Linked DNA regions of Daphnia pulex. The protein of the gene in region 2 purifies or fractionates together with the protein of the main gene of each other region. This does not show direct contact. Links are inferred from orthologs where the notes say so. Each region holds a gene or a part of one and is shown on either strand. Other genes may lie near its edges.

Region 1 (4,544 bases), on a different chromosome or scaffold from region 2:
CGCCAACCGGATTCACTGCATTGACGATTTCCACAAGTACGATTGTTATTTCTTGTTTCTTGACGAACCTTCGTTAAAAATACTATAATATTTGGTTTTAGGAAATTCGCTCCGCGCTGCTCTGTTTGTCACGATCCCATCATGCCAGAGCCTGGACAGGAAGAAACTGTTCGTGTTGTCGCTCTGGATCGGAGCTTTCACGTACAATGTTACAAATGCGAGGTAACTTGGCATATATTTACTTTTCTAATTGTCAACATCCTAACATGGTTTTTTGGGATATTAGGACTGCGATTTAGTTCTATCGTCGGAAGCTGAAGGGCGCGGTTGTTACCCGTTGGATGGGCGTGTCCTGTGTAAATCCTGCAATGCCATAAGAGTCAATGCGTTGACTTCCACCACTTCGACCGAGCTTTAAAGAAAATATTTCACGTTTTAGAAGACAAATGGAAGGGAAACTAAACAAGGAAAATGTGTCGGTGACTTTTAAAAAAATATATTTCCGCTATGTAACTCTGTATTAAATGACGAGTGCCTGACGACAGGACACAATTAAACGACATTCGACCATTTATTTGGTAGCCATAAAAAAAATAATAATCGGTTGGAATTTCTACGCCTCTTAATATGTATTCGGTGTTTCTATTTGCGGCGATTTAGAAGCGTCGTTTATTTTAATTATTTTTGATGTTCCGCATACCACATAATCCTCCCAAACGCACAAAACGACTGTCTTCCCTGATGTAGAACAATACAGCTTAGATCATAGTCATGTGAACATGTCATCATCATCTGTGTCCAGAGTCACTTCTGGTGGAACAGTCTCGATTTTCTTCTTCTTCACCAATGCTTTCCCCTTGTCTATTTTTGCATTATCCTCTGAGTTGGTTGATCCTAGTGTTTCTACTATGGCTTTCTGTAATAATTTTTCAATGGACTCAATTGGCTTCTCACAATGTTTTTACTTGAATACTTACTAAATCTTCATTCCTTCGAACCAGCAGCTTCACATCATCTCCATTGATTGTTGTGCGCTTTCCATGCCTCAATAAACAAATGTAAATAACAATGCATACATCTTATTTTAACATAAGCGATCAAGAAAATTAATACTTGGCAAAAGCTTCCAAATCTTGTGTAACCAGCTTGATCTTTTGCCAGACAATTTCATTTATTGTTGCTATCACATGCTTGTCAAAACTAATGTGAGTTCTAGCTTCCTGTTCTTCACACATTTTACCCACGGTAAAATGCAATGACGCTTTCAGCCGCTGTAAGTAAAAACGAAAATTATGTGCGATTCATGGTCTGCTAATAGATTTGCTTACTTCTTCGTGATCCATATTTACATCCAGGTTATTCCCCCATACAATTACACAGGAAAGTACACCTGAAGTTTAGTCCTTCAAGAAACAGATTTCGTAAACAGGGTAAATTTTTTAAATCTTCAGACGTAAATTCATAATTTCTTATGTTGTTGACTTGTTGTTAAGTGAAGTTGGAGTCAAACATCAGTGTCGGATTTTTTCAAATCGTATTTTAAAAGGCGATTTTCTTCACTTGTTTTTTTCGACAGTTTTTTAGTTTCTCACTTGCTGTCTTATGTCAAGTTTAAATTTTAAAAAATCTTTTCTTCATAAAATTAATTTTTATGTTTCGTTTTTCCGTTCCCAAAAACATAAGGATAAAGGTAAATGTGGCAATCTTGCGCCACCGGGGGTAAACAAAAATTTTCGCGACGCGCCTGGATTTCTGCTAGAAATCCCCGTAATTCCCCTAATTGCGTACTTCTGAGTTCAGTTAGTATATTTATGACGTTCACTAAAAGTGATGTACAACTACAAGAAAGGATATCAGATTTTGGTTTCCCGTGAATTTCAAGAATAAAAACATTTCCAATATGACTGACACTTCTAACCCAGTTGCGGCAAATAACAACTCAGCTGCTGGCGTTGGTACGAATCGTATGAACAACATTCAAAAAATTCAACTGCGGAAGCAGCAGGTTCGTGAATGGCCACATCCTAAGAAATTGGAAAAGCTAGCTGTTTATTCAAGTTGCAAGGTGGGTTTTCATTTTCAATGTTCTATAATGAACATGCTTTATTTCTTAAGATTATTTTTATTTTTATAATGAAGAACCACTTAACTGAGACATTTCTCCATAATTATTTTTTCAGTTTGATGAAAATTGCAAATGCAATGGATGGAAAAATCCTACTACACCACCAAATGTCAACAATACAGGAATAAATGTGGTTCTTCCATCAGCAAATTTAACTGATCCATGCCGCAGTTGTTCACATAACCTTTCAGATCATGTATCTCACTTGATAAATTCCAGTAATGAAGAACTAAACCAACTTTTAAGTCTGGTAGTGGACATAGAAAATTTATTTGTCTGTGTTAACAAGGAAGAAGATCCAGACAACAAACAAGTCTACTTTTGCCTTTTTAAAGTAATAACATTTGAAATCATTTTAGTGAAACAAGTATTATAAAAATGTTTTCTTAAATTTTCTTATTTTTTTGGAATATAGCTCTTGAGGAAATGTATAATGCAGATGACAAAACCAGTTGTAGAAGGGCCTTTAGGCTCTCCACCCTTTGAAAAACTAAGTATTAGCAAGGGTGTTACTAATTTTGTCATGTTCAAATACAGTCAACAAATCCCCAAGGTAAGAAATCAAAGTTATCCTTTAAAACATTAAATTAAATTTATTGTGTTCATAGGAGTTTCAAAAAATGTGTGATCTTGCCAAAATGTTTATCCACTGTTTAAATCACTGGAAATTGGAAACCCCTACTCAGTGGAAACAACATTATCCACAAGCTGACCTCTCCGTGTATCGAATTAGTTACACGAGGTAAACCTATTTTCAGTTTAAATTAGCTTTTGAAATTTTATTTTTAACTTAAAAATATTACACTCTGGCAGGTGGTTATGCTATTGCAATGTTCCGAGCTATTGCGACTCCCTACCGCAATATGAAACTAGTGCTATTTTTGGTCGGTCCTTTCTTCGACTGGTCTATTCCACCGTGCAGCGACAGCTCATGGATCGTTTCTTAGCCGAGAAAGACCGACTGCCACCCGAACGACGGGATATGATCATAAATAATTTTCCGAAGTTCTTGGCAGACATGGAAATGGAACTAGGAAATGATGCATCGCCTGTGTGGGATCCGTCGTATGTTCATCGACTCCCAAATCAACAGGAGAACATCAAAGGTATTTATTTCATTGCTTTCCAACTTATTAATGTTTAATCTAATTCTTGATAATTCTTGATATTAGAGGAAAATGTAACCCAGTCCAGCAACGAAGCAACCTTCCATCGTTTGACAAACAGCGGGATTGTCAGATCAATTTCCAAAGATGTAGAAAAGTAATGTCGAAACTTCATGTCCACCCTATGTCTACATGGAAATAATTTTCAATTTTAATTAGGAACTTGTTAAAGCGGCAAGTTGACAGCGAACCTAGTGTGGAAGGTGATGCGAAAAGGGTACGTTTGGATCATGACATATCTGAAGAAACTGTCGCCACAATTCTTGCCGTAATTAATGACCCCAAAAAGATGCTTGGTCCCGAAGTAAGCCAACAAATTTCTTACGTGTAAAGAATTAAGCTCTTCTAAACAGAGCTTTATTTTGGTTTTCCAGAGCGTCTTCCCAGAAAATGCACCAAGAGACGAAGCGGCAAAACAGGAAGAACGTCGTGGTTTGATATCCTTTCACGTAGTGGGAAATTCTCTTACTCAGACCGTATCCAAACAAACCATGTCATGGTTGGTTGGGTTACAAAATGTTTTTTCGCATCAATTACCACGAATGCCGAAAGAATACATCACACGGTTGGTTTTCGATTGGTGAGTCCTAAATTTTGTCTCTTATACTTTAAATCACCAAAGTTACAAATGTTATCCAATTTACGTGTAGCAAGCATCGGACTTTGGCGTTGATCAAAGATGGTCGACCAATCGGTGGTATCTGTTTTCGAATGTTCCCCATCCAAGGTTTCACCGAGATCGTATTCTGTGCCGTTACCTCCTCAGAGCAGGTTAAAGGGTACGGAACTCACTTGATGAATCACATTAAGGATTACCATATCAAACACAATGTACTTCACTTTCTTACCTTTGCCGACGAATACGCCATTGGTGAGCAAACAAAATTTTTTATTTTCAAATAATTTTCCTAATGCAGTGTGATGTGCAGGTTATTTCAAGAAACAAGGGTTTAGTAAAGAAATAAAGCTTCCAAAGTCCGTTTATAACGGTTACATCAAGGACTACGAAGGAGCAACTCTAATGGGATGCGAGTTAAATCCCCGTATTATTTACACAGAGTTTACCGCAATCATTCGAAAGCAGAAAGAGGTCTTACCCAGATTTAATATCCAACATTATTGTTCCTTTCTTAATTGTTTTTTTTTTTTTTAATTTTTAGATTGTCAAACATCTAATTGAAATGAAGCAGCAAGAAATTAGCCAAGTTCATCCAGGTCTCAATTGCTTTAAAGATGGTGTTCGAGAGATTCCT
Region 2 (4,411 bases):
TCGGGTGGAGAATAGCCGGAAATGACTATATATACCTTTGATCGAAGGAGGAGCGGGGTGGAGAGAGAGTTGCTTGGGATTTACAATCAAAAGAATCCAAAGGGCAGAAACACCAATGGGAGGGTTTATGTCAGAGAAATCTCGCTTTTTTTTTCGTCTTTCAATTCCTTGTTCTAACCATTTTGTGTTTTTTTCATATTTTATTGAATCGTGAAAAAAGAAAAAATGAAAATGGTCGTTTTCTACGGTCATTAACCGCCGATGAACTGTCTGGAAGTGGAAGTGAGAAAGGGAAATTAAAAAAGGAAAAACAAAACAAACAAAAAAAAGGTCTTGTGAATGGAGGGATGGATGTTGCATGCAAAAAAAAAAAAGTTGACTCGGTTGAGCTGCCCTTTACAAACATTTTTCTTCTCCATTTCTATTCATACTCCAATATCATCTTGTGGTAGAAGAGTAGGTACCTGAAAAACCAAATCACCCAATTAATATCCAAGAACAACCAAGCAAATTGCAAAATATTTTAAACTAAGTTTGTTTTTGTGGAATATTTGATACCCTTCACTTTGGAGGACGTCGCGAATATCAGCTTTGGTGATGAGATGGTCATCGCACTTGAACCAATGGTCTCGGTGCTGCCGGATGTAGGCCGTGTAGTGACCGGCTTCAATGGTTCCGACGTGGTTGATCACAGCAAATAGAGAATACCTGGTGGGGTGAGAAGGAAGGAAGCAACGAGGATTCCGTCACAGTCACATTCGGTCGTTTTCTCAATAAACCGAGCAACAAGTTTACATGTTTTCAGTGGAAATAAGGGGCTTGTGGACGGGCCTATCAGCCCGGTCCGGAGAATCCGAATTGACGTTGTTATTGATGTTTCGACGGTGGGACATGAATGGACTCATGTCCAGGTATTCTGGAAAGGCGATGAATGACGAGATCTTCTTATGGAATCGATTGGAATGTTCAAAGCGCTGCATAAAGTAAAGAAAAAAATAACGATGAGTGGTTCATAATATGACGTTCAAAGTCAATAAAAAAACAAAACAATACGCACCTTTAGGTGAAAACTAGCAACCACTGGCAGTTTCTTCATCGTCAGTTGTTTTGTGGATTCTTGGTAGCTAAGACATCGCGAACACTTGATCTTAGCCGAAGATCCCAAGTGCTCTGCCCGGGTGAATCGCTCCAAACAGTCCTGCAAGGAAGTGGGAATCGATCCAGGGCCGTTGCCAGTGGTGACGACTTTCGTGCTGGGTGACGGACCGAGGTCCAGGGAAATATCCCAAAAAGGATCTACTGTTGTAGAGACACCGCTGCAGTGAACAAAAACAAAATAACCGTTAAGACCAGCAAATTTAGGACATCAAACATTTGAAATAGTTATTACTGGCAAGCTTGACAAACGACGTCTGACTGCAAACCACCAGTGAAAATTTGATCTATGATACATGTGCACCGATTGACAGAGTTCTCTTGAGGCTGAGTCGACTGTTGCTCATTTGGTCCTCTGTTAAAAATCATTTATATTTAGAATGTCACGTTTCTCACGACTTTTATAGCCAATGAATAATTTCACCTGCAGTGTCGATGGAGTACATCCAAAGTTGCTATGAAAAATTCGTGGGCGTCTTGCTGTTCATATCCAGCTAAATGACGAGCGTGAGTCCATATCAAGTGAAGAAGTCGGTGCAATGTCAGAGGAGCCTTGTTCCCCGAATAGAACTGCGAAAGAGAAGATTAAAAAAGAAGCGATAAGTCTAGTAGGAGTGTTATGAATCCGAAAATAGATTTCTCACAGGAAACGAGGATTCTTGTTTTTTGGATGACATACCTCTTGGAATAGGCGAGAGATTTCGCAGACCAGACAGCGACTCGGTTCGTCTTGGAACTGACAAATATGACGATCCGACAAGAAGAAATCTCTGAGAAGAGGTACTTTTAAGAGAGCCTGTACTATGCAGTTCATGAAACAGGTGTTGCCCAAATTCACTAGACCTCTGAGTCCTGCCATGAATGAAACATGGAGTTAAGATAAAAGATTGGATAATGAATTTTTTTAAATAATGAACCGATAGTGGCAGAGTCTGTGATCTTCTTGCGTCGTGTATGCTTTTTGAGGAGCTCAATTTCTTCCTCAGAAGGTTCCCATGAATGATAGACTTGACCCAGTCCCAAGGAGAGAGAAGCTTTGGTTTGATGCTTTTGAGCAATAGTTTCCAATTCTCGGTCATAGACGTAATCCCCACACTGAAAGCAGCACACAACTCCATAAGTCAGATCTACAGCTGTAAAAAAAAGGAGGCTGCATTAGTATCAATGAGATTTGATTTTTGGTTGTCGAATTACCTAAGAAATGTTTCCGCTGCTGAGAGTGGGCCTGTATGTGACCAGCACCATAGCAGCCAAAGAAAATGCAGTGAAGGCAGGCATGAAGCCTGGGTCCTCTTCGCTGACAGACATGACACACACACGATTTGGCCTAGCAACAAAAATGATGAGTAAAGGAGTGATTTAAAAGAAACAATACTTGAACTCTTACCTTGCGTTTACGGGCTTCTGAAGATGTGCATGCCACAAAAAAGGAATGAATGAGCCGGTAGGGCCTAGTCCCCTTGGCCGCTTTGAAGTTGTTCAAGTGGAGACAGCCATGGGCAGCCGACATGGCCACCGACGGTGAATTAGACTTGGGCAAAATGTTGGCGGCTTTATAATTCCACACGTTTTAATAGAGACCTTATAGAAAATTAATAAATTTCGGCCTCTACAAGCCCAACCTCGACGGCTTTCTCAAGAAGAAACAATTTATCTAAACGCCATAGCTTCTTTCCTTTTCTGTAGGCCAAAAAAAAAAATTTATTCTGCTAAAATGGTAAAGCGCCATCGCCATCTTCTGTCCAAAATAACAACCTCGTGCAACGTTGAGCAGACAAGATTTTTTTGAGGAAAAATGGAGGGAGATTTTTGTGTGAAAACCGCAGACAACAAATCAATTATATCCTGGCCGCCGGAAATGTGGTAACCGCTAGCTTTTGTTCGGAAATAATACATGGACTAGTGAACTTTTTTTTTGGTGCAGGAAGCAATTCCCCAGGAGATAACCTCATTTTATATAATGATTTCAAAAGATTGGAACGAAACGTGTTTTTGTTTCCCCCTTTTCTTCCGAATTCAAGATAATTGGCAATGTTTTGGCTGGGTGAAAATGAGGTCGGGATTTCGAAGAAGACGTTTTGCCAGAATCAAAATGCTCGTGGAATGTGAAACTCTTGCATTAAAAAAACAACAATGTTGGAAAGTGATGTTTACACGGATGATGAAGCCCTTGGATGAAGTGAAACGGAGTGGAATAAAATCGAAAGTTGAGCTATTGCAACGAGCCGTGAAATAACCAAACGTCACCGTCTCCTTTATCGACGATATTCGACCACAATGGCCGAGATCGACGACGTGTGCAACACATCACATTTCTGCCATAAGTAAGTGGCAACTGGTTTGCAATCAATTTTGGCAATCAAACTAGATTATGTCGGCGATGCATTTCAATCGCCACATGTCTGAATGAATTAAGATCAATCCAAGGTTAATAAATTCGACATGGTCAATCAGCTGGTGTGTGTGTGTAAATAGTTATCTCTCCCCACGTGTTAAGTCATTCTTGACGCGAAATTTTCATAATAACGCTTTCGAGGTGGCCAAAAAACCATGTGATATCCAATTGGACACGATGTGTCGTGAATAATGATGCTGTTGTGGAATAATCTTGTGGCCTTGAAAGTCAAAATCTTGAAGAAAAGAACTTGGGGATGTCTGCCAGTGTTATATAGTCGAAATGCCCTTCAAAATGGATTCTTTTTCATTTTATTTTTCTTTTCTTTTAGGTTCTCGAAGCTTAACTTTATAGCTGATAATAGAAAAAAAAAGGACTCCCAAAGCCCCTCGAGGACGTGAAGAAGAAACTGGAAATGTGTCTAAATGGCCGCTGGAGAAGAACTCGCTTCCCAATATTTAAGTATATACATGTTTTTCTATACTTTCAAACGTATCCAACAACCCTATGGCTTCGCCCTGCTGATGACCAGCCCATATAAGTATACGGTAATTCCCTTTTTTCTCTCGAGACCTGCTGGTGTATCCAATTATGCCATAATCGGCCATCGTGGAATTGTGTTTTTCATCTCTTTTCTTTTTTCGCTGCCAACCAACCGAGTCATTCTCACCCTTCTTCTTCTTCGGTTGTTAAAGGGCCTGCTGGAGAGTTTCCTACATCTTGTCTGTTCGTTCATCCTCGCATTGTTGAACACACGTAACAACTGAGAAACATTTTTCCTGGTTTTCGAATGTTTTGGAAGGGACCAGCTGCCCAGCTGGTGTCCCCCTTTATCGATTCAAATGAATGTTATCCGTTTTA

The links.
Region 1: the proteins of ubiquitin carboxyl-terminal hydrolase 22-like (region 2) and histone acetyltransferase KAT2A-like purify together in Drosophila melanogaster (affinity purification with western blotting, with the first as the bait; 3 studies listed by BioGRID). This does not show direct contact. The link is inferred for Daphnia pulex from reciprocal best matches to the Drosophila melanogaster genes not and Gcn5.

Annotation. Positions count from the first base shown.
Region 1 is NC_060028.1:7,764,843-7,769,386, reverse strand, and holds the start of histone acetyltransferase KAT2A-like, read left to right. Parts: upstream 1-1,712; 5' UTR 1,713-1,900; coding exon 1,901-2,065; intron 2,066-2,180; coding exon 2,181-2,459; intron 2,460-2,540; coding exon 2,541-2,678; intron 2,679-2,733; coding exon 2,734-2,867; intron 2,868-2,938; coding exon 2,939-3,231; intron 3,232-3,297; coding exon 3,298-3,388; intron 3,389-3,450; coding exon 3,451-3,595; intron 3,596-3,665; coding exon 3,666-3,871; intron 3,872-3,941; coding exon 3,942-4,162; intron 4,163-4,220; coding exon 4,221-4,381; intron 4,382-4,451; coding exon 4,452-4,544. Other genes in the region: thyroid receptor-interacting protein 6-like, read left to right, coding at 1-36, 102-222, 287-418; centromere protein S-like, read right to left, coding at 770-916, 978-1,044, 1,114-1,271, 1,329-1,343.
Region 2 is NC_060023.1:10,811,642-10,816,052, reverse strand, and holds the start of ubiquitin carboxyl-terminal hydrolase 22-like, read right to left. Parts: upstream 2,881-4,411; 5' UTR 2,666-2,880; coding exon 2,543-2,665; intron 2,483-2,542; coding exon 2,350-2,482; intron 2,289-2,349; coding exon 2,073-2,288; intron 2,008-2,072; coding exon 1,835-2,007; intron 1,726-1,834; coding exon 1,580-1,725; intron 1,511-1,579; coding exon 1,391-1,510; intron 1,317-1,390; coding exon 1,058-1,316; intron 975-1,057; coding exon 796-974; intron 709-795; coding exon 559-708; intron 465-558; coding exon 422-464; 3' UTR 1-421. UniProt on the Drosophila melanogaster protein: Histone deubiquitinating component of the transcription regulatory histone acetylation (HAT) complex SAGA. Catalyzes the deubiquitination of histone H2B, thereby acting as a coactivator in a large subset of genes.